Linked DNA regions of Caenorhabditis elegans. The protein of the gene in region 2 interacts with the protein of the main gene of each other region in a pairwise test. Each region holds a gene or a part of one and is shown on either strand. Other genes may lie near its edges.

Evidence for each region. The genes of interacting proteins can lie anywhere in the genome.
Region 1: the proteins of tfg-1 (region 2) and nos-3 interact in a two-hybrid assay, tested with the Caenorhabditis elegans proteins (one large-scale study listed by BioGRID).
Region 3: the proteins of tfg-1 (region 2) and ehs-1 interact in a two-hybrid assay, tested with the Caenorhabditis elegans proteins (one large-scale study listed by BioGRID).

The regions. Positions count from the first base shown.
Region 1 is NC_003280.10:9,742,743-9,751,615, forward strand, and holds nos-3 (Nanos-type domain-containing protein), read left to right. Parts: upstream 1-3,573; 5' UTR 3,574-3,724; coding exon 3,725-3,761; intron 3,762-3,959; exon of another isoform or gene 3,960-3,974; coding exon 3,975-4,291; intron 4,292-4,436; coding exon 4,437-4,667; intron 4,668-4,802; coding exon 4,803-4,923; intron 4,924-4,967; coding exon 4,968-5,584; intron 5,585-5,682; coding exon 5,683-6,563; intron 6,564-6,610; coding exon 6,611-7,061; intron 7,062-7,106; coding exon 7,107-7,118; coding exon of another isoform or gene 7,119-7,128; 3' UTR 7,129-7,712; downstream 7,713-8,873. Other genes in the region: RNA-binding protein pno-1, read right to left, coding at 1-13, 83-131; Y53C12B.1 (U3 small nucleolar RNA-associated protein 13 C-terminal domain-containing protein), read right to left, coding at 389-712, 773-1,439, 1,485-1,915, 2,219-3,026, 3,174-3,325; Y53C12B.7 (uncharacterized protein), read right to left, coding at 7,769-7,940, 8,411-8,484, 8,531-8,631.
Region 2 is NC_003279.8:14,098,197-14,106,105, reverse strand, and holds tfg-1 (Protein tfg-1), read right to left. Parts: upstream 4,785-7,909; 5' UTR 4,741-4,784; intron 4,060-4,740; coding exon 3,879-4,059; intron 3,827-3,878; coding exon 3,681-3,826; intron 3,031-3,680; coding exon 1,897-3,030; 3' UTR 1,636-1,896; downstream 1-1,635. Other genes in the region: dnj-29 (J domain-containing protein), read left to right, coding at 942-1,046, 1,187-1,312; tdpt-1 (5'-tyrosyl-DNA phosphodiesterase), read left to right, coding at 5,023-5,074, 5,138-5,212, 5,262-5,482, 6,155-6,249, 6,383-6,614, 7,805-7,909.
Region 3 is NC_003280.10:5,817,543-5,825,023, forward strand, and holds ehs-1 (Eps15 (endocytosis protein) Homologous Sequence), read left to right. Parts: upstream 1-3,169; 5' UTR 3,170-3,177; coding exon 3,178-3,240; intron 3,241-3,287; coding exon 3,288-3,468; intron 3,469-3,551; coding exon 3,552-3,664; intron 3,665-3,710; coding exon 3,711-3,842; intron 3,843-3,956; coding exon 3,957-4,666; intron 4,667-4,719; coding exon 4,720-5,636; intron 5,637-5,734; coding exon 5,735-5,936; exon of another isoform or gene 5,937-5,983; coding exon 5,984-6,056; 3' UTR 6,057-6,320; downstream 6,321-7,481. Other genes in the region: ZK1248.4 (MSP domain-containing protein), read left to right, coding at 1,056-1,289; tbc-2 (PH domain-containing protein), read right to left, coding at 6,544-6,564, 6,615-6,757, 6,809-7,325, 7,374-7,481.

The sequences.
Region 1 (8,873 bases), on a different chromosome or scaffold from region 2:
AGTTCCGGCATTCCTGAAAAAAATACTATTTTATTTTTTATTAATTTTTCAATTTAAAAAATCCATTAAATCAAATTCTTACCTTCCTCCATTGGGAGCTCATCGTCGAAAGCGGAGCTGCTAGTGGCCATGTTTCCTCTGTCTGAAAATAAATGTTAAGGTTGAGATTTAACTGAAAAAAATGTTTAAAATATTAAAATCCGTGATAAACGAATTAAGTTAGGCTGAGCGAAAAGGAGAAAAGGAAACAAATTTTATAAAAATTATTGAGCTATAACAAAAAAAAAACAACAAATAACTTTAAAAATAAAAAAGATAACTATAGAGATCCGATGAGCTTGAAAATTCAACAAAAACCAACAACAATAACAAAAAAAGTTTTAACGTTTCAGACAGAGCTTCTCATTTGTCTCCAAACAAAATCGAATAGGCTAACATCTTGCTTTGCCCGATCCAATCGATCCATGTGCCGTTGGGTGTACGGTAGGAATGATTCAATATATCCATATGCACCGGGCATTGACACTAACTCCTCTGGATCCACGATATGAACAATTTCGTACAAAACTCGTTGTGCAACTGACGATGTTCGACTATTCGTGTTCCATTTCACTGTGAATTGCAGTAGAATCTCAATTTGACGGGTGTCAAGGCGGCGAATTGCGGAACCGAGTTCTTCTGGTGTCTCCTCAGCCATCAGAGCATTTATAACCTGGAAAGAAAGTTTAAAATGGATAATTCAAAACTCATTTAATAGAATTTAACTAATCACCTTAAAAGCACAAAACGGTTTGGCTAGAGTCAGTGCAAACACGAGAGCTTCCGAATATCTCTTCTGACTCAATAAATTTGTCAAAGTCTGATCTTGTTCAATAGCCTCTCTTCTCTTATTATCCTCGGCTTTTTGTTTCTCCTCTGTAACATCCTTCCAGACAACAATCCGCCCATCAGTTCCAGCAGTCACAAACTCTGACTCGTTATGATTTTTCGAAAGCGACCAAATTTTGTCAGTATGCGCATCAATGGAACATTCACAATCAGCAGTTTTGATTGTCCAAATCTTGATGATTCCAGCACTGTCTGCAGAGATCAACTGAGAATCGTTGCGAGCGAATATCACTCGGAATACAGCACAAGAATGTCCGGAAATGGTTTGAAGACAAGATTTTTCCGAGATGTTCCAGATTTTAATGGTCATATCTCCACTGCAAGATGCAAGTTTGTGAGAATTCTTTGCAAATTTAACATCTCCAACTCCACGACGATGTCCTGATAGAGTTCCAGCGATTCCCAATTGCATTTTGTGAGTATCCACTTGCCATAATTTTACTAGTTTATCCATTCCTCCAGTGGCAATAAGAGCATCCGATTCGGAAATATCAACACAATTCACATCTTTTCCATGTGCAACCATTGTTGAACTGCATGTCAGTTTTGGGCTGGAAAGTGAATTATTTTCGCAATAAAAATGTTTTCAAACTTACAGCTGTTCGACAAAATCTTTTTCTGCATCAATTTTGACTTCTTTTAGTTTTGTAGAAACTCCCAATCCCCACAATTTGATAGTACAATCCGTTGATACTGATGCCAGGAAAGGAGCTCGTCCGGTATTGGAAATCGCTAGAGCAGTTACTGTATTTGCATGTCCTGTAGCTGCCGCAACTGGGACCAGAGTGGAGCAAGAGTCATTTTCAGGAGATGTTACAAGTCTCCAAAAGATAATCGAATTATCTTTAGAACATGATGCCAGTAGAGATGTGTCCCAGGTAGGAGATACTACGGAAAGAACTGATTCTGTGTGACCACGAATTAATTGACAATCCAGGGTTTTAGTGTTGTAGAGTCGGATTTCAGAAGTATTGGAAGCGACAGCCATGTGAGATTCATCTTTTCCAAGAAGACAGCACGAATAGATCTGAAGATAGGGAATAATAATTAAGAAGGTTCTTAAATCCAATTATTACTATTCGTAGAAATATTACTTGGCAATTTGAGAGCATATTAAAAGTGGTAATATTCAAAGAAAAAATTATTAAAAAAATGATAAAATCAAATATTTTCGTTTTTCGGTGTTTTTTTACGAATTTTGTATAAAAGATTTACATTCGAAAAATTATACATTAAAGCAACTTGATATGACAAAAATGATATCAACAAATGGTTTTCAATTCCAATTTGCAATCATTGTTTTTCTTTCAAGGTCAACTATAAAACTCACTTCGTCATGGAATCCAACAATTTGTCTTGCAATTTTCAGATTTTCAAAATCCAAAATTATAAGATTTTGTTCGGCGGAAATTGCCAAAAAGCGATTAGAAACAACATCGTAGGCCAAGTGATCGAGATTCGAGCTGGCAATCCTTTTCTTTCTGACCAACTTCGCAGTTTCAATCACAAATTCCTTAACAACACCCTCTTCTCCAACAGTGAAAAGATTTCCGTTATGTCCGATTGCTCCGCCTTCAATTGATTCGTAGAGTGGAAGAACTCGGAGTGTTTCTTGAGTTTCTGTTTCATGAATACTCATCGTCTGATCTCGCGAAAGAGCCACAACAACTCGTGAATCCGGAACTTGAAGCAGTGCGGTAATATGAGAATTATGACTTTTCCATGTGTTTACAAGTTTTTTCGGAGCACCTCTCATTATATTATAGAGGTTCAATTGTCCTTCAATGTATCCAACGACAAGCTTTTCATGTTTTCCGAACAGAATTGCTGAAACTACCGAGGGTCCTTTTAATGTGTGTGTACATTGTTGCTCTGTCAGATTCCAGACTTTCACGATGTGATCGGCACTTCCAGTCGCCAGTAAATGGCCCTCCTCATTGAATTCCATAACGAGAATAGGAGCAGTGTGTATGGTTTTCCATGTTCTGGCCAACTCTGGTTTAGTTGTCGACGGATCCAAAGGAATTGAGTATTCACGAATTATTTGATTGTTATAGGCGACCAAAAGGCGATTTCTGTTCTTGTCGACAGCTGTGCACGTAATGCGTAGCTCATCTTCAGGGTCGCCGATGGTATAGCTGCAAAAGATTTGATGCATTTCAAATTTAATTTATTTTATTAAACTTCAAAATTATTCATATTCAATTTTTCAAATAATCATAATCAATCTACTTCTAGTTTTGTGGGTGAAACTTGTTTTAAAGTTCTGTCGCAACATCACATACCTTGCAGTATTGTCAGCCAGATCAATCACTTTCACAACATTTGTGCATGTAGAAAAAAGTTTCTGACCATTTGCACTCCATCTGACAGTTCCTCCGGTGTAAACTGCTTCGACACTTCTTTTCGCGGCAATTTCCTTGATAGGTTCAGTCATTTCACCTTAAAATGTTTTAGTAACGCAGTTATTTGAGGGATCAAGAGTTAAAAATAAGAATAACATAATTTAAACTGTAAAGGTTGATGAAAAGAATAGAAAATAGGTGAAATTTACTTAAAATCTATCAAATGATCTAAAAAAACGACTCCGTAAATCGACACTAATGCCGAAACAAGTGTCACCGTACTTATTCGCTGCGAGACCCACTTCCCGTTTAATTCTACGCGCCTTTAAGTGCCCACCCATTTCGGCATTTTATCGATGAATTTATTAGCGTTCGCCGACGCTTTTTATAGATTTCTAACCTTTTTGTTCTCTTATTACCTTGCCGCCTTCAAATAAGAGTTATCTTAAACTAGTAACATTATCATTTTGCAATATAAACTCTGGAAAAATATGCAATTATTACATTTCTACACACAAAGTGTTCCGAGTATGTTTTTTTCTGTTATTTCCACTCAACTGAGAACTAAAAACTAGTTTTACCAAAATCACATGTTCCTTTTTCAATTTCTCATTTTCTTTGATACTCTTTGCCAATTGAGCTCCTTATTTTTGAAAACATAGATTCCGATAAAATTTTGCTGATTCTCTTTTTCTAAACATATTGCATATTTTAAAACACTTCGATAGTCAACATTTACAGTCAACGTTCACTTGGTAATGTCTGGACAGCAGTTCCAGCAACATTCACAGCAGCAACAACAACGTGCCCCAACCGTCTATAATAATAACAACAAGAAAAACGGCGGCAGCGCTGCAAACTCAAACCAAAACAACAACAACCCCCATCATACCTCAACGACTGATTCGGTGCCGAACTCGACTGCCAACGTGTCGTCAGCAATTTCGTTTGAGTATTCAGAGCCGCCAGGAAACACCACTAGGACAACACCAGATTCTGGGCTAGGGACTGACGACCAAAAGGGCACACCTCAACAGACACGTGCTCCGCCAGGATTTGTAAGTAGGAAACTATTGAAAATCCTATCGAAAAAAGATAAGTCAGAAAAAGAACACTTTTGAGGTGCGCAAGGTTTTAAGAGAATTGAGAGATTTTTCAAATCAGTGAAATATCAAACATGTAATTTATCTCATTCATTTTCAGCATCGAGCAGCTTATCATCGGAACAGCGGTCAACAGCAATTCTCTCAAATGCGCCCACAGCCGCCACATACTGGACCACCAAATGGTATGACATATTACGGAGGAACCGTCGGCGCGCCCGGCTATCAGCAACAACAACCACCACCACAAGAAGGATATGATCAACAGCAGCAGTTTGGAGGTGGATCCGATGGTGGACAATACCAAAGAGGACCACCAGGAGGCTATCGGGTATGGAGAATTACGGGCTCCTCAATTATTTCTAGCTCATAATAATTTTTTAATGAGCGTTATGATTTGGAAATTATATCTACAGGAAAATAATGAGAAGAGTTGATAGACATTTTGCAAATTCTTTATTTTCAGCAGTATCAACAAATGGAAAGCGGTGGTCCGCCAAGTGGATACGCGGATGACAACAACGGTGGAAACAATAATTTTGTCATTCATGGCCCCAACGATAATTTCGATGGTCGGCCACAATATAGTTGGTGCAAACTTACTGTGTTCTGTTCAAAAGCATAATTTTAGATCCTCAAGCAGGGCCACCACCACAAAATCAGCAGCAAATGATGAACAGTGGCAACTATGAAATTGATCAGTACCGTGGACAAGGACCTCCTCCAGGAAATACCTATCAACAGCAGGGACATAGTGGACAAGCTCAATATTATGCTGGACCAGTAATCCAGCAACGGCCACCACCGCCACACAATGCTCAATCTTATGGACAGTATAGGGGTCCACAAGGCCCGCAAGGCCAAATTATTCAAATGATGCCTCACAATCCACAGAATCAACAGCAGCAGCAACAACATCCAATGCTGTATCCAATGGTGTATGTTCCTGTGCCAGCACCACGAGTGTTCCGGCAAGAGCCAGCTGGTGGAGCTAGCAGTTTGGAAAAAGACGGAGGAAATGCTCGCAAAAGTAAACGAAACAGTCAAAATGAGGACGATGGTCAGCAACATCAACATCAGAATGAACAACAACCTCAACAAGGCTACCATCAACAGGATTTTGTATCGAACCCACTCTGGAATCAGATGCCTGTCGGTTACGCTCCACCAGGAAACTTCACGCAGCCTCAGCAACAACATCAACAAATGGATCAACAACAAGCCGTCCAAATGCAACATCAGATGCAGGTACAACTTTAAAAAAATTAGGGGAAGATTTTATATTATATTTTGACAATTTCACAGAGTTACACTTTTTTTAAAAAGAACAAACAACAATTCCTCAGATGTTTCAGCAAATGCAACCATACGGAATGCCACAAGGAGGCCCACCACCACCTCATGCTGCTGCTTCTATGATGAATCATCCCCATCAGCAAAATCATCCTCATATGAATGCACAAATGACCCAACAACAGCATCCAGGACAATATCTACCGCAACAATATATGCAAATGGTTCCGCCGCCTCACCATCAAATGCAACAAATGCAACAGCAAGGTAGACGTCCAGGAGGTGTTGAGCCGCTCATGGGAGGCCCGCCGTATCAAATGAGTGGACAAATTAATCAAATGGGAGGACCAATACGTGGAGGTTTTGGAATGCAACAGCAACAGCCGATGGGCTACTTCAATTCTGGAAGAGGTGGAAATGCTGGATCAGGAAGAGGAAGAGGTGGTTCACGAGGTCACGGATACCAACATTCTCGTCAAAATTCTAATCAAAGCTACAATTCTTCTCAAAGTTATCCACAAAATCGAGGAAATTTTGATTCATCAAGTCAATATCAATCCGACAGTCAACAAGTGGATGAATCAGTTACACAGCTTACCAATAGAATTGAACATCTTCAACCAGTTAGCTCACGTGCAGGATCACCAAGTAAACAGATCCTTCAGTTAGTCGAATCGAAAGATGATCAAACTTCGACTGAAAATTCTGAATCACCAAGTCGGTCAAGCACTCCTAAACATCGGAAGAAGACCCCAAAGAAAGATTTTAAAGTTGATCAAGAAGCATCTATCGAAGCGACAAAAACTGAAATAAGCGAGGAAAATCCGAAAACGGATGATATTCAGTCTAAAGATGATGTTACTTCGAAATCTGAACTACACTGTTATCGATGTGAACATTACCAGTTGCCTGCTGAAGAAGTGTCTTCCCATAAGTAAGATTAAAAATTCTAATTTATAAAAATTAAAAATTTAATTTCAGTATTCGCAAGGATAATGGTGATTTGTGGTGTGAGCATATGAAAAAGATCAAATGCGGGCATTGTGAGGCGACTGGAGAACAAGGTCATCACCCTCTAATTTGTCCAAAAAAGAAAGAAGAAGAACGTGTGGCAAAATCTCGAGAGTCTTCGCAGAAGCCGATCGATCCGCAGGAAATAAGTGATGATCAGGATGATACTGTACCGGATGTTCCCGATCAAATAGTCGAACAAGACAATCAGTCACATAAATCTCGTCACAATTCAGAAAATCGCAGTGGCGGTAGAGGATACGGTCAGAACTATAGCCATAGTTATGGCGGAAATTCTACTGGTAGCTATCGTGGACGATCGTCTGGAGGAAGTGGAGGCAGTGGACGTGGTGGTGGTCGTGGAGGTTACTCACGTGGACATGGTGGAGGATCAGGAGGAGGACAACGTGGAAACTATCAGGTTTGTATTTTAATAAATTGAAAAAAAAAACTAATTCCCATCAAGTTTCCAGAATAAACGTAAGTAAAATCGTTGGATTTTGATTGGCACCGATGTCCAACGACAACAAAAACTTCCTCCGATTTTCAAGAATCTTTCAAATATCCCGCTCGCCCAAACAAAATTCACTTCGATCTCTATTCATTCCATCCCATGCTAATACCACCATCCCACCGAATTCCAACTGCGAAAGCTTTAAAAGAAACCCCCTCATGTCTATCCCGATTTGTTGTTGAAACGTTTTGTTGTTTTTCTTTTCTTTTTTGTTGTTTTTTTTGCTAAAGAATTCCCCCAATCCTACAAGGATTCCGTAACTCGAGTTCCATCCTTTGGTCTGTTCGAATTCAATTCGTCATCCCTTTTCTGTCATGATTTTGTTGAAAATTGAAATTTTTGGCAGAAAATCCTGATTTTTTAAAATTGTGTCACCGTTCTTTCTTTCTTATACTATCTCCCTTCTCCCCCACTTTCTAAAGTATCTCTATAATCCCGCCCGTTTTCCTCTTTTTCTCTATCCCCTTTCTCTTCCCCATCAAACAATGCATAATACTGATGATGTTGGTTCGAAAAACGATCTTCAAATATTTATGTTTCCGATAAATCTCAAAATTCAAACAGAAGTGTCCCGTATTGTTGTTGTTGATCAATTAGAGAAAACAAGAACATCTTCATCCACTCCATCCACTTCGCCTTCTCCGTTTTTTAGCGATGCCACCGATTTCCTTGGCCCATTTGAGGATTTTGTGTTCACGCGCCAACGCTTTCAGCTTCTGATGATGTGACGAAGATTCTGCAGACGTGGCAAAGTGTTCGTGGTAAGGCAGCAATGGAATTGGAACACTGAAATCCACTTTTATTAATATTTTTCATCACCAAGACGTGAAGTTTTTCAATTTTTGTGCAAAAAATACAGCACCAGGTCTCGTCACGACAATTGTTTGTAAAATACATGCGGGTGGGCGCCTTTAAAGGTTACTGTATTCTCAAAACTTCGGTACTGTGAAATTTTAATTGTTTTCCAACAGTTTTTCTTACGATTTGCTAAAATTTACTTATTCTATTTTAGTGTTTAATAATAAATAAATAAGTTTTAAATAAAAAACTAGGAAAAATCGATGAAAACTCCGCGCAGCAACTAAAGTTTGAAACTACAGTAACCTTTAAAGACGCACACATGTTTGTATTTCACAAAGAAAAAGCGTGTTGAGACCGAGTACCGTAGTTTTGGAGCGGAAATCGCAAAAACTCGCGTATGGGTAGTAATTTCCTTTTTTCTTAATTTTTAAAATCATCTCCAATTTTAAACTCACCCATTATCGTCTATAAAAGCATGGTGTTGACGTGTTTTTATCGGTTGGCCCCGGAATGAGCCAATAAAATGAGCCTGAAATTTTCAAAAATTTAACTGAAAATCTTAGTCAAAAACTAACCGATCTCATTCCAACGTCGGCGTCGGAAGTTCGAAAATCGGGAATACTCGTTCGAATATCTTTTCCATTTACTCTATCAAGTAGACTGAATGAGCATATTTCTGAAATGAAACGTTTTTTGTAATGAAAACTTTATTTTCACTCTTCAATTTAATTATTTTAAAAGTAATTTTTATTCAAACTTTACAGGAGACCGAACCTGCGGAAATTCTCGAAATATCTCAAAAAGTCTAAGTTTTTTTTATTGAAAAACTTGGCAGTTCACCAATTTTTTCTGGAAAATGTGGTTTTTAGGTTTTCTTAACATCTAAGGAAATACATTTGTAGCTCAAACAAATCGAAA
Region 2 (7,909 bases):
ACCAATATTTCTAATGCTTTTTCGGTTGAAAATCGGGATTTTCTGAAGGACTTTGACACGGAAAATGTCGATTTTTGAGTATTTTTCTTGGAAATTTGAAAATTTGGAAATTTGAAGGAAAATTCGAATTTTAGCGTTGAAAACCTATAAATTTGAAGGATTTTATCCTAAAATCAGCATTTTCTAGTTGAAAAATCGATTTAAAACCCACTAAATCTCGGTGAGGCTTACACTACAAACTACAAAATCGGTTTAGCCTCAACCAATTTGGGTGAGGCTAATGGGAGTTGTAGTTTGTAGTCTGAGCCTCAACCAATATTTCTAATGCTTTTTCGGTTGAAAATCGGGATTTTCTGAAGGACTTTGACACGGAAAATGTCGATTTTTGAGTATTTTTCTTGGAAATTTGAAGGAAAATTCGAATTTTAGCGTTGAAAACCTATAAATTTGAAGGATTTTATCCTAAAATCAGCATTTTCTAGTTGAAAAATCGATTTAAAACCCACTAAATCTCGGTGAGGCTTACACTACAAACTACAAAATCGGTTTAGCCTCAACCAATTTGGGTGAGGCTAATGGGAGTTGTAGTTTGTAGTCTGAGCCTCAACCAATATTTCTAATGCTTTTTCGGTTAAAAATCGGGATTTTCTGAAATTTTTATGGATTTTTTTTAGAAAAAAAATGCTAAAAACGATCAATTTTTCTAAACAATTTGTTGTTTCCTTCCTTAATTACAGATAAAAAAGAAAAAAATTGTATTTTTCGTTAGGTAAGGCTCAGGCTACAAACTACAGAATCTGCCTCAACCACAATTTTTTCCTACGTTTTTGACGATTTTTTTGGCAAAACTATGCCAAAATTTGAAGTTTTCGCCCCAAAAAATGGCATATTTTTGCACTAAAAACTCCATTTCCCACTAAATTCCTATTGATTTCTTTCAGATTGACATTCGATTCGCGGCTCCACCACACAAAGGAATCTACACGTACAATTTGTCGGTCAAATCGGATTCCTATATGGATGCGGAGTATAGTGTTGATTTTAAGGTGATTTTTGATTGAAAATGACGGATTTTAATGCGAAAAATTGTAAAAAATTATATTTTCAGGCGAATTTCTCCTCAAAAAATCCATTTTCGACACAAAAAGCAGCAAATTTCTCAACAATAAATTCAAAATTATTGCAGATCGACGTGAAAGAGGCGAAATTCGTCGAAATCAAGCACGACGACTACGTGGATGAGGACGATGAAGCCGTCGAAGTGTCGTCGGACGATGATTATACAGAAGACGATGACTCGGATGAAGAGTAGCGAAATGCTCCAACAATTGCTCTCCAAATTATTCGTTAATTTATTTTTCAATTTTTCTTCAGTGGCCCCCCATTGTTCTCCCGCACTTTTCTCCAAAAAAATTTCAATCAATTTCTCTACTGGGTTTTCTGTTCTTCTAAAAGTAATTAAATTAAATATTTTATTTAAAAAAATTTGTATGTTTTCGTGTTCCCTATGCATTATTATTTCTATTCCCTTCCCACCAATCACATCACTTTTGAAAATGTTTCCTCTACATAGTTACATGAAATTTAGACCCTTTTTTCTATGCTTCAATTAAAAAGAATTTCAGAGACAGGAGCCCGAGATTTTTTAAATTCATATCATAAATATTATATACCACTAAAAAAAGGAGAAAGAGAGAGAGAAGACGACAAGAATTGATGTGAATTCCACGTGGAAAAGAGAAAAGGCGCTCCAGCGCTATATCACAAGGAAACAGGGGCGAGCGAGTAGAAAAGGAAACTTGTACACTAGGGGGGAAGGACGGGGGAAAACATAAAATATTTAAATTATGGGAATCAAACAAACAAAGAAGAAAACATCAATAAATTATCGATTAATTACTGCTGATACGGCGACTGGCGGTATCCCGTGGCAGATGGTCCTCGTGCGAATGGATTTCCTCCCGGGGCTCCGGCGGCTCCCGGTGGCGGTGCTCCGACTGGTGGGAATCCGGTTGGCGGTGGTCCGTAGGCTCCTGGGCCTCCTGGAGGTGGTGGTCCGAATCCTCCTGGGCCTCCTTGTGGTGGTCCGTACGATCCTGGGGCTCCTGGGCCTCCTGGCGGTGGTGGACCGTAGCCTCCTGGGCCTCCCGGCCCCTGTGGTGCTCCGAAGGCGGATGGTGGTGGAGCAAAAGCGCCCGGTGGTCCCGATTGTGGTGGAGGGGCAAAGTTTCCTGGAGCACTTGATACTGGCGGCGGTGGCCCTCCGAACGATTGTGGTGATGGAGCATGGAATTGCTGGGGTGGTGGAGCTCCGAAGGATCCTTGTGGTGGTCCTCCCTGTGGTGGCCCTTGTGGCGGTGCTCCAAATCCTTGCTGGGGAGCTCCCTGCGGTGGTGGGGCTCCGAATTGCTGCTGCTGCTGCTGTGGTGGAGCATATCCTCCATACTCTGATGGTGGTCCAGACGGTGGTGGCCCGCCAAACTGCTGCGGTGGAGCAAATCCTTGCTGCTGCACTGGAGTCGACGAGATCGAAGAGTGCGACGCCATCGGTGGTGGTGGAGCCTGGAATTGTTGCTGCTGCTGCTGTGGAGGCGGTGGAGCAAACTCCTGAACTGGTGGGCTCGCCGCATTCGACGTTGGGAACGACGGGATCGTCGCGTTCGGTGGCGGAATCGCTCCGAATTGCTCAATTGGTGGCGGTGGCTGGGAGCTGAAGCTAGTGTTCAGATCATCGGGAATTTGCTGATGTGGTGGTGGAGCATAGTGATTCTCCAACGGAATCTCCTCCTCAACGTGCGCCGGGCGATGATTGAATTGCTCGTGAACCGACGGTTGGATCGTCGCCGGGAGCTCGGCCTTCTCGGAAGGCACTGGCGATGGTGGAGCCGCTTCGAAGCTCTTTTGGAACACAATATTGTCGTGGTGAGATTGTTTTGGAGCCGAGAGATTCGCCACCGATGTGTTCGATTGTTCGGCGATCTGGGCAACGTCGAGAGCACTGAGAGCGCCAAGAAGCTTTCCAACATCAAGCTGAAAGAAAAATTGAATTAAAATTCGTTTTTCGCTAGCTGTAGTACTAGAAATTCCAATTTTTAGCCATTTTGTGTTAAAAATATTGAAAAAAAAAACCGATTATTTGGATAATTTTGTTTAAAAATCAATGAAAACGCTGAAATTTCTCCAATTTTTCAGTGAAAAACCAAAGATTTTGTGAATTTTAAAAACAAAATTGGTTGAGGCTCACACTATAAACAAAAAAAAGCTGCATAGCCTCACTCAAGCTTTAGCTAATTTGGTTGAGGCTAAAGCTACAAACTACAAAATCACCATAGCCTCACTCAAGCTTTAGCTAATTTGGTTGAGGCTAAAGCTACAAACTACAAAATCACCATAGCCTCACTCAAGCTTTAGCTAATTTGGTTGAGGCTAAAGCTACAAACTACAAAATCACCATAGCCTCACTCAAGCTTTGGCTAGTTTGGTTGAGGCTCACACTACAAACTACACTTGTTTCTTAGCCTCAACCAACATTTTTCAGTGTTTTTCCGGATTTTTTTTTGTCTAAAAAGCTCAAAAATGCAGCATTTTCGATGAAAATTCTGCAACATTTTGCATTTTCCCGCTCAAAATTGCGCTTTTCAGCTCAAAAATCGTTTTTTTTCGCTCAAAATCCTCCTTACCTTAATCTGCTCGACTTGCTTCTGCACATCGTGCACAGCCTCACGAGCTCTCGAGTCGACAACGACGGTCACGTCGAGCGTGGCTCCAGACGTGTGAAGAGCCAGCAGGAGGTCGCTATCCTCGGCGAGTGTCACCAAATCGCCTTCTAAAATTGACAAAAATTGAATTAAAATCGCAATTTTCAGTGCAATTCCTACCTTCATCCTTGTACTTCAACACGAAATTCGCGTCGGATGGGAGAGCCAAAAGCCGCTGCACATTGAGCACGAGATCGATGAGTGTCAAGTCGTTGGCGTGGTGAAGTGACGTCTTGCGGACGACGTCGGCGTGACGAGCCTTCAGAATTGTGCTCGTGATGGCTCCGTTTGAATGCACCATCTGGAAAAAACGGGGGTTTTTTAAAGGGAAAATTGGGTTTTGCGGGAGAAAAAGAAAGAAAAAAGCAAAAAAAAACCGGCGAAAATCAACTAGAAATCAAGAATTAAACACAGAATCCGAATTTTGGTGAGGCTCAGGCTACAAACTACGAAATTGGCTCAGCCTCACCCAAGTTTATCCGGAGCTCATATTTTTACGAAAATTTTGGATTTTCATGTGTTTTGACAGGAAAATTCGACTTTTTAGTTGAAATTCGACCTAAACGAGATCAAAGTTTCAAAATTAGAGCGGGAGTAGGCCAAAAATATGGTTTCATCGATTTTTAGGCGATTTTCCTATCGAAAATCTAAATTTTCGGCTCTAAAACCCACTTGAAACGCTATTTTCTAAGATTTTAAAGCAAGAAACCGGCAGAAATCAAGAAATAAAATAGTTCCACGTGTAATATAATAAAGCAATTCCATCGGAATCTCTAGATTTTCGCGGGTTTTCGGTATAAAAATCGGGATATGGCACATAAAATAAGTAAAGATCACGAAAATAGATCAAAATCTTCAAGATAATATTGAAAAAATTGCGAAACTAGGTCTAAAAAAATTCCACACGGATTTTCATCGTTTTTTGCCGGTTTTCTGGGGTTTTTTTATGGTGAAAATATCGATTTTAACCTCTAATACTCACTTTTCTTGCTATTTTTATGGATTTTCTGCAAGAAAACCAAGGAAAAATGGGAAAATAACGGGAAGAAAAACGATCCAAATCCGCGATATAAAATTCCACGTTCGGTAAAAGTGCGCCGCAGTTGCAACACGCGTGCCAGGATTGCAAATAGGGTACGCCCCCCGGCTAGACTCCGCCTTTTCAGTTATTCTTTTCGCGATTTTTTGAATTTCAATAGTTATCGTGTGGATTTTTCGCGTTTTCTGAAAAAATATGATAAAATCCTCTAATTTCAGCTCAAAAATGTCGAATTCTGACGATGAAATACAGGAAATTGAGGCTAAACGACAGAAAAGTAAGGCTTTGCAGCTGGAAATTCAAAATATTTGAATTTTAAATCAAATAAAATATATTTCAGTGTCCCAAGAAGATTCCGAGGTCGAAATCGAGATTCTAGATGAGCCGGAGCAAGGAAAACTGAAAAATTCGTCGAGTAAACCCGAAAAATCAATAAATTAAGGCGAAAATCCGCGATTTTTCAGTGAGCGACGAGCAAAAACTGCATGAATTTGCAATAATCACGGCCACAGATGAGGCTTTTGCGCAGTCGATTTTACAGGATGTAGACTGGGATTTGAAGAAGGCTCTGGACGTTTTTTACGGGAGTGAGGCGTTCGCAGAGGCCAGAAGTGCGGCCGTAATGGGCGCTTCATCGTCTATGGCGAGCTCTGGAGCTGCGGTGATGACGGCAGAGGATTTGAAGGTTAATAGAAGAATATTTGGAGCAAAATCAAGCCAAACCACCTAAAAACATCGATTTTCGAGTTAAAAAACCTCAAAAATGCTGCAATTTCCGTAAAATTTCAGTGATTTTTCACAGAAATCATTGAAAATTTGAAAAAAATCACTTTTTCAACCGGAATTCCGAAAAAAAAAATTGGTTGAGGCTCAGGCTACAAACTACAAAATCGGCCGAGCCTCACCAAAAATTTCCAAAGCGAAATCTGGCGAAAATACTTGAAATTTTCCTCATTTTTTATCAAAAAAACTAAAATTTCCATAAATTTTCATAGATTTCCTTCAAAAATCAGTAGAAAAACTAAAAAAAAATCACGCTTTCAACCGGAATTCCGAAAAAAAATTGGTTGAGGCTAAGACTACAAACTACAAAATCGGTATAGCCTCACCAAACATTTCCGAAGCATAATACTCGAAATTTCCCTCATTTTTCTTCAAAAAAGCTCAAATTTCCATAAAATTTCATGAATTTCCTTCGAAAATCTTTAGAAAAACTGAAAAAAATCACGCTTTTAACCTGAATTCCGAAAAAAAAATTGGTTGAGGCTAAGACTACAAACTACAAACTCGGCTTAGCCTCACCAAAAAAAAATTCACTTTTTTCGCGATTTTTCCAACAAATTTCAAATTTTTTCAGGGATTCGAAGTCAGCGTAATGTCGTGGAACATTGATGGGCTCGACGGGAGAAGCTTGCTCACAAGAATGAAAGCAGTGGCTCATATTGTCAAAAAGTGAGCAAAATCGGCGATTTTTCACGGAATTTTCAAATTTTTAGTTGATTTTGATGCAAAATCAGCAAAAAAATCACTAAAAACCGTCAAAAATCTTCAAAAATCAACCTGAAACGCCAAAAAAAAATTTCAGCGTCAATCCGGACATCCTATTCCTCCAAGAAGTCGTCGACCGTGATTTGGCGCCGATTGATAAGCTTCAATCGCTGTATAAAATCTATTATTCGAACAAAGGCTGCCAATATTATACGGCGATTCTTGTGTCGAAAATGTTCGACGTCGAGAAGCATGACGTCATTCATTTTCAGAATTCTGGAATGTACAGAACTTTGCAGATTTTGGAGGGATCTATTGGCGGTTTGAAGGTTAATTTTTCAGAAAATAGACGAAATTTTAAGAAAAAATCCCGGAAAACCGCTAAAAATGAGTGAAAATGATGGTTGAGGCTACCCAAATTTGTAATTTGTAGCCTGAGCCTCAATCAATTTTTATCGCAATAATCGAATTTTTCAGTTTTTTACTGAAAAAAAAGATTTTTTGAAAAATTCTCGCATTTTAATCCATTTTTTCAAAACAAAATATAAAAATTCCCGTAAAAATCAATCAATTTCCGCAAAAAATACCTTAAAATCGAGCAAAATGTATATTGGTTGAGGCTAACCACATTTGTAGTTTGTAGTGTAGGCCTCAACCAATTTTTCCCCTCAAATGTTTTCCCTCTTGTTTTTCTTGCAAAAAACTTCAAATTTTTACAGAAAATGGGATTTTCCACTGAAAAAATCTAGATTTTCAGGTTTTAAAATCAATTTTCGGTCAAATTTTACGGAAAATCCCTATGTCTTCCTGAAAATCTCTTTTTTGTTGTAAGATTTTCGAGATATAATTGATTTTTTTCAATCAGAATTCTGCAATTTCTAGCTGAAAATCACAGTATGTAGTGTGAGTTCGAAAAAAATTCGTTGAAACTTTGGTGAGGCTAACCAAATGTGTAGTTTGTAGCCTGAGCTTCAATCAATTTTATTTGTAATTTTTTTGAATTTTTCAATGATTTTTGTCGGAAATACATGAAATGTTATGGAAATTTGAGCTTTTTTGAGAAAAAATGTGGGAAATTTCGAGTATTTTCACCAGATTTCGCTCCGGAAATGTTTGGTGAGGCTAAGCCGATTTTGTAGTTTGTAGCCTGAGCCTCAACCAATTTTTTTTTCGGAATTCTGGTTAAAACCCTGATTCTTTCAGTTTTTCTTCTGATTTTTGAGGGAAATCCCTAGAATTTTGAAAATTTGGAGCTTTTTTTGAAGAAAAATGAGGGAAATTTCGAGTATTTTCATCAGATTTCGCTTCGGAAATGTTTGGTGAGGCTAAGCCGAGTTTGTAGTTTGTAACCTGAGCCACAACCACTTTCCCGAAAAAAAACTGAAGAATTTCCTCGTTTTAATTGATTTTTTTGAAAGAAAACTGAACATTTCTATTAAAATCATTCGCTTTTCGGCAAATTTAACAAATTTTTGTAGTTTGTAGCCTGAGCCTCAACCAATTTTCTCGTTTTTTGCAGGTATTCCTACTTAACACCCATCTCGAATCAACACGTGAGCACCGCCCGCAACGTTGTGCTCAATTCGGCTTCTGCATGGACAAAGTCCGTGAAATCATCGCTCAA
Region 3 (7,481 bases), on a different chromosome or scaffold from region 2:
GTTTTTCATTGAACTTTTACATGTTATATTATTTTTAAAAATAAAAATAATTTTCAACGTTTTCTGAGTCAACAAAATTTTTTTTGGTCCCGGCAATCGCCGAATTCTCTGTTGCGATTTGACTAGATCGAATTTTTAAAGGATTGAAGGATTAAAGGACGATCCGTTCTTCAAGTGCTATGCACTGCGGATCTGGGATTCAGGTACACTGCCTGGTGGTGATCCCTCTAATTTAACAAACCATATTTCCATCTGTATACACGCAAGACTATTTTTCGAATTCCTCATAACTTTGGAAAATTGCCCAATTTTTGACAAAACCTAGTTTGATACCGTTTAAACCAGGAAAAATACATACTTTTACAATATTTCATCAGCTATTTTTTTACGTTTTTAAGTGTAAATTATTCAAAAAAAGACTAGTTTTCTGAAGTTTAAACAAGTTCCTGATGATAATAAGTCAGTGTAAAACTACCAAATATTGCAAGAATAATAGGGATTTCAGACACCTTTTCAACTGAAGTGTGATTTAAAGAAGGAGTTAAGTGCCAATTCGCAGAATTGGAGGAACTTTTTTTTATTTTCGGCTGATTTGCTAATTTGCGAAAACGTTGGAAATATTTTTTTTATAGCAAGACACTGAATGGTGTGTATTCTTGAAATTTTTTCCTGTTTTCTTCAGATATTTTTAATCAAATTTACTCATTTTTATATCAATTCGAGAAACCTAGAATATGTCCAGTTTTCAAGTTCAAATCCAAATCTCATTCAAATCTCAAAAATTTCAACAAAAATTTTAAAAAACAAAGTTTGCCAAAAGTTTGAAGTTTCAGCAATAGCAGAATTTCCGTTTGCCAAAAAATATAGTACTATGTATAATTTTCTGAAATTCTAGAAATTCCGCCCAGTCGGGGCGCAACGGAAAACTGGACAATTTACATTGTAAGGGGTCATAAATTAATGAAAATTTCTAAAAACGATTAATTTTATTTTTATTTTCAAAAATATGATAAAATGTAAAAGTTCATTAAAAACGTCAAGACCAAACCACCAACATGAAGAGACTTGGAGTTGATCCACCATGTGGAGTTCTCGACCCAAAGGAAGCTGTGCTGTTGGCTGTTTCGTGTGATGCATTCGCATTTGGACAGGAAGACACCAACAACGACCGTATCACCGTCGAATGGACTAACACTCCGGATGGAGCTGCCAAGCAGTTCCGCCGCGAGTGGTTCCAGGGAGATGGTATGGTTCGCCGCAAGAATCTGCCAATCGAATACAACCCATAGGTTCCTTGTAAAATAAATATTGTTTAATGCCTGTGTTGTTTCTTTCTGTAAATTGAATATATATACACTTGTCGCTTATCCTCTAGATCAGCTGGCTTCGTCGCTTCGTTGTTTCTACAGATATTTCTTGCAAGAATCTTCCGATCGAATACAACCCATAGAACTTCTAAATAATTTTTTTCCTGATTCACTGGTTGCTGATTTTATAATTTGAAAAATAATATTGTCTACCATGTTTCCAAATTTCAAAATATGATATTGTGATATACGAACTTTCTTTGAATACTTTGTTACAGAACTTCCTCGCATGTATCATTTTGAGAAGAAGTTGTATGTTCGAGAGCCGTTTCTAGAGAACTAACAGAACGAATTTTTTAGATTTCAGAATTATCAACAAGATCATATGCAATGCCTTGAATTCATAGATAAGAGATGATGAAAGATGGAGCTGACTGCATTTGAAAGAACTTTCATTTTATCTATCTAACAATCTAACAATTATTAATAAACAATTATTCATTTTCATTGTTGTGTTTATCATTCGATTACTCGGAAAACATTTTTATTGCTCAAAATATATATTTTTCTAGCTAACTGGAGTAGTTTCAAAATTGCCATTCGGTTCAGGATAGGCGGTTTCAGGCTTACTTTTGTTTAATTAGTCCCAGGTCTTCGAAACTCAATGTTTTATTGTGTCCTGTGTTTCCCTTGATTTTCACTAAATTAATTCTGGGGACATGAGAAGGTAATCTTGGAAAATTGAAATAAACTACAGTACTCCTCAAAGACACGATTTTAAATTCAAAAAAATCAGTCGTGTCGAGACCCGGTACCGTATTTTGGGTGTTAAAATCGGAAAATTTCGCCAATGGGGATACGATAATTTGAGTTTTATATTCAAATTAGATGTATGATATAGGAAAACATTCCACTAACGGGTGTATTTGATTTATTTTGCTTGTATTTACAAATAATATATTTCGAATGCTCGCCTGTTTCTTGATATTGTCCTCGTGTTGTTCACGGCCGAAGTTTTTCACAATTATCAATAGAGCGCTTCTGAAAACTCGTCCGCGACAGTGAAAATTTTAATTTTCAGAATTAATTGTTTTTAATTTAACGATTTTAATTAATTCTCTCATTTACTGTTGCAAGATTTTTTAATGCTATCTGTTGAATATTTAATTTTATCACTATTTTCAATAATTACGATGTAGACGCTTTATTTGCAATATATATTGCAAACAATATTACAATATATATTGCAAACAATATTGCATTATACGCAGATTATTTTCTCCCGTTTTGACAGAATAAAATTAACTTGACAATGTGTGTGTAAACACAGTGACGACAAACTGCGACAATGAGTCATTCAGGTTTAGTCTTTTGCGAATTAGTTTATTTATAATAATTATATATTATAGGGTTATTGGGATATTTTTTTATCTCACCGTTAATGAAAAATGTTAAATATATTCCTGTTTCAAAAATTGGCTACAATTTAAATCAATATATTTGTTTTGTAATCATTATCATAGAGGGCCGGGACTCTTCCCACTGAAACTCAATACTTTTGCATATTTCACATTCTCTTCCTCCGTTGGTTCACCAAAAGAGAAAAGGGACCGACATGAAAAGGAAACGAAAGCTTAAAAGAGACGGAAAATCGATGTACTAGAGTGCTCGGAAGTAGTTGAGAGGCGCAGAGAGAGAGCTTTCATTCAGAAGACACACGACGTTATTCCTCGCAACGCCTTCTTCTTTTTAACAATCTTCAATACATTTTAGTGAACTTTCTTTTATTTCTGTTTCATTTAAAAATAGTCTTAAATTTCACTATATTTAATTTTTTTCTTTTATTATCTGGAATGTTTCAGCTTTCAACATGGATGATTCATACGCGATAGCTACACCGCACAATGATGTTTTTAATCACGCATTCGCAGAGGTAAATATTTAACAATTTGTAATACGTTAACAATTGTTATATTCCAGATGAACCCTCACGGAGCACCAAGAATAGGAGCTGCAGAAGCAGCTACTTTCCTTAAAAAATCAAACTTGGCGATGCCTGTGTTAGGCCAGATATGGGAGCTTAGCGACTCTCAAAAAGTTGGATCATTAGATAAGAGAGGAGCATTTGTTGCTTTTAAACTAGTCGCAGCTGCTCAACAAGGTAACTTTTATTACCTATTTGGAATCATATTTTGTTGAAAATACGATATGCTCAAAAGTAACCTTAACAGCAAAATATTTCAGGGAAGCCCGTCGCCAATTCTTCCCTCTACGATTCTTCCCTTCAGCCACCACGGTTTGCACCACCTGTACCACCAGCAAACATGCAGCATCATTTCCAACCATCGTTCCCATCGGTTTGACTGAAAAGTGGTTCCTCTATTTCTAAGTGTTATTATTCAGGTTGGCCGTGCTCCTCCAGTGCCACCACCACCACATCCATCACATCCTTATTCGATCTCTTCTCAACAATCTTCTCCAGCTCATCCATCGTCAGCTTTTCCACCACAATGGCCGATAACACCAACTGACCAGGTAGCAAAAACTGAGAATTAAAAACTTTTAAAAAATCTTTCTATTGGCACGAATAGAGAATTGACAGTTATTTTCCTTTACAGATTTGATCAAATATTCTTGTAATTATTTCAGGCTAAATATGACTCCATCTTCCAATCATTGAATCCTGTAAACGGAAAATTGTCTGGTGCACACGTACGCCCGGTTCTGATGAACTCTGGACTTGATGCTCATGCTCTGGCTCGAATTTGGGAACTTTCGGATCAGGACAAAGATGGAAACCTTGATCGAATCGAAATGTCTGTTGCACTTCATCTTGTATACCGATCACTTCAATCAGACCCGGTTCCTGCACAGCTCCCACCAAATCTCATTCATCCTTCGAAAGCAATGTATGCTCACAGCTCACCGAATTTCGCTGCTCCTCCACATCCTCCACGTCCGATGATGGGATCGAGAGCAGGATCTGTGACGTCATTGGATGATGTGAACATGAGTCAATCGTATTCTGCAACGATGCCACGTGCATATCCACCACAACCAGGTCGTGCTTACTCTGCACAGGCTCATGTGAATGGATCACGAACCAGTGGTGCATCAACTCCGATATCTGCTTCTCACTCGATTCACTCATTTCCTGCTGGTGAATGGCCTATCAATACAGGAGATTATGCTGATCAATTTGCTCAAACTGATACGAATAAGGATGGATTGGTTGATGGCATGGATATGAGAGCTCCCATGATGACTACTGGATTGAGTGCACAGATATTAGCACATGTCTGGGCATTAGCAGATATAAAAAAATGTGGACAGTTGAATTTGGAGCAATTTGCTTTGACGTAAGTCTTTCAAGTTTACCAAATATCTAGTGTAACTAAATATTAATTTTCAGAATGCATCTTCTTGACATGGCAAAACGAGGCGAGTCCATCCCATCAGAACTGCCTTTACATCTGATTCCACCTTCATTCCGCCCACCTACGGAACCTTCAGCTTTGCATCATCCTGCTCAATCAGTTTCAACTCCACAGCTCCCAGAAGCAACTTCGATGGAAATTAAAGAAGCTTTGGAAGGCGAAAACGAAGAGATGAAGCAGCTCGCAGAGTCTATTCAATCAATGCTGGTGGAGCGGAAAACTGCAGAAGAAGCTGTTTTACAACTAGAAGCTGATATGACTATTAAGAACTCGAGTATCAAAAATCTGCAGGTTGAATTGGCCACCTTGGAGTCGACAGTTAAACAGTTGGAGCGACAAAAAGGTGAAGCCACACGAAGATTAGCTGATTATGATACTCAAATAGAACAGTTAGAATCAGCATGTAAAGCACAGAAAGAAACGAAAGAAGATACCGAGAAACGAATGCAACAAATTGATGAAGATGCAAAGAATGCTGAGGACTGTAAAGCAAATGATGAAAAAGAAATGGAAGAATTGAAAAAAGAAATTGAAATGCTCGATAATCAATTCAAAACTGTTCGTGGAGAAATTGTCAAAGAAACATCACAAAGAGAGCAAAAGGTGGCCGAATTGACAACTCTAGAACGAAAAGAAGCAAGAGATCAGATACAAATGGAAAAGCTGGATGCTGCAATCGAGAACACGACAAAACTAACAGAACAAGTATCAGATGCAGTCGAAAAATCCGAGGAGGAAATGGTTCAAATTCTGAGGTCGCAACAACGATTATTGTCTACTGTAATCGATCAATCGTTGCTATCCGATGACACTGTTTATGGAGAAACAGCTGGAACATCATCTCAAAATCATGTTCAACAACCACCTGATCCGTTTGCATCCGCCAGAGCAAGTAGGTTTATATTTTTAAGAAACAAAAAGAGTTATGAAAACTTTTATTCTGACTTAAAGTTTTGAAATATGAATATATAACATAAATTCAATTTCCAGATCCTGCTGCTGATCCATTCGCCCAAGTAGATCAGTTCGGCTCATCTGGACATTTTGATGCCGCTTTCCCAACTGATCCATTTGCTCAAGGAGGCTTCCCATCGGATTCTGGCTTCGCACAATCGGCTCCCGCAAAACCTGCTCCACCTCGCCCAGCTCCTCCAAAATCTGCTCGCGAAACACCTGTCAATGATCCTTTTGCGTAAGTCTTAGTGAGTATCAATTTATTTAAAGTCTAAATAATTTCAGCCCATCACAAGGACAATCAACTCAACCGGCTGGATTCGCTGATTTTGCGGACTTTGGATCGGCTTTCAATTGATTTTTAATAATTATACCTTACCCACTATAAGCCCCAACGCCAGTCAAATTGTTTTACTTTGCCCAAATGTTTACCTGTGCCAAGTCATCGACATAATTTATTGATGCACATTTTTAAGATTAGTTTTTTTGCACTTTCCCACTTGAATTGTCACTTTTCTAGGTTATGAAATCAGAGCAATAATGTTATATACTGTAGAATATGAATATGCATGATTATTATGTAAATTATGAGTTATAATATATAGTAAATGATTTGCAGATTAATTTTATGTTGCGTATTTGATATTTTCAGTCTCATGTGTAAAAACGGAGCACAAGTAAACGGGTTGAAGGGGGGGAAGTAAACCGTAAAAGAAATTGATAAGGAAAAAGGAGAATCACAGAAGTTTGAAAATAATAGTGAAAAAGTTGTGTGAAGAAGACATAATTATGCTAGAAATCGAAAGAAAATACAGATTAGATGTACAAGAATGTTCGTGTCGGATTTACATACAGTGGCCAGTATCCTGAAAATAATAATCGCTATATTAGAATTTATTTATATATTACTGTTTACCTTCAATTGTGTCAAATAGAGTTGTCGTTTAGTTTCTATAGTCTTCTGAGGGAACGGATTCAGTTCGTTGAATGCCACTTGAGCTAGCGACTTGAAGTCAATGATATGTTCTTGAGCTTTGCTGAGACATTGATGAACTGTGCCTGAAAATTCTTGTTAAAAAACTAATAAATTTAAAGTTGTAAGTCACAAACCAATAGTTTTACATTGAAGAACGTGAGGTTCGCATATTTTGAAAAGTGCCAGTGCGAATCGAAAAAGAACCTTATTTCCTTCATAGAGGAATGCATCGAATATAGTCAGATAAATAGAATGCGGGAGTACATCTACAAAACACGTCAGGAACCAACTGAGCGCGAAAAGTGAAAGATCAACTTCAAGAGCTCTCAAATGTGCAGCCAATTTTGGAAGCTTTTCTGCTACAAGATCGCGGAGAACTTTCTGATCGGCAACCGCTCCGATCAGTGAGCTAGTGTAATATCCTTCAGGTTGGAGATGTTCCACACATGCTACAAGGAACCAGAACGAATCCTGCTCATCCAGGTTTAACAGAGCAATTGCAGCAAGACGATTGAGTCCTTGGCAGTAGCCGACGTGAGAGTTATGGTATCGGAAGGCGTAGAGTACGTTTCGTAGTTTTTCTATGTTAGCAGAATCTGGCTCGTCGAAAAGTTTATTCGTGGGCAGAGTTCGAGCGAGGTCAAGATCAATCTGAAAAAATAATATGAGAAACTCGAATTTAGAATAATATAAATATACCTGTTTGATGGCTGCATCGTAACTTCCATCCTGCTTCTTTGTTCCAGCCTTTCTGAGCATACTTTGATAGTATCCATTACCCAATTCTGCTTGCTTATCCTTCACCCA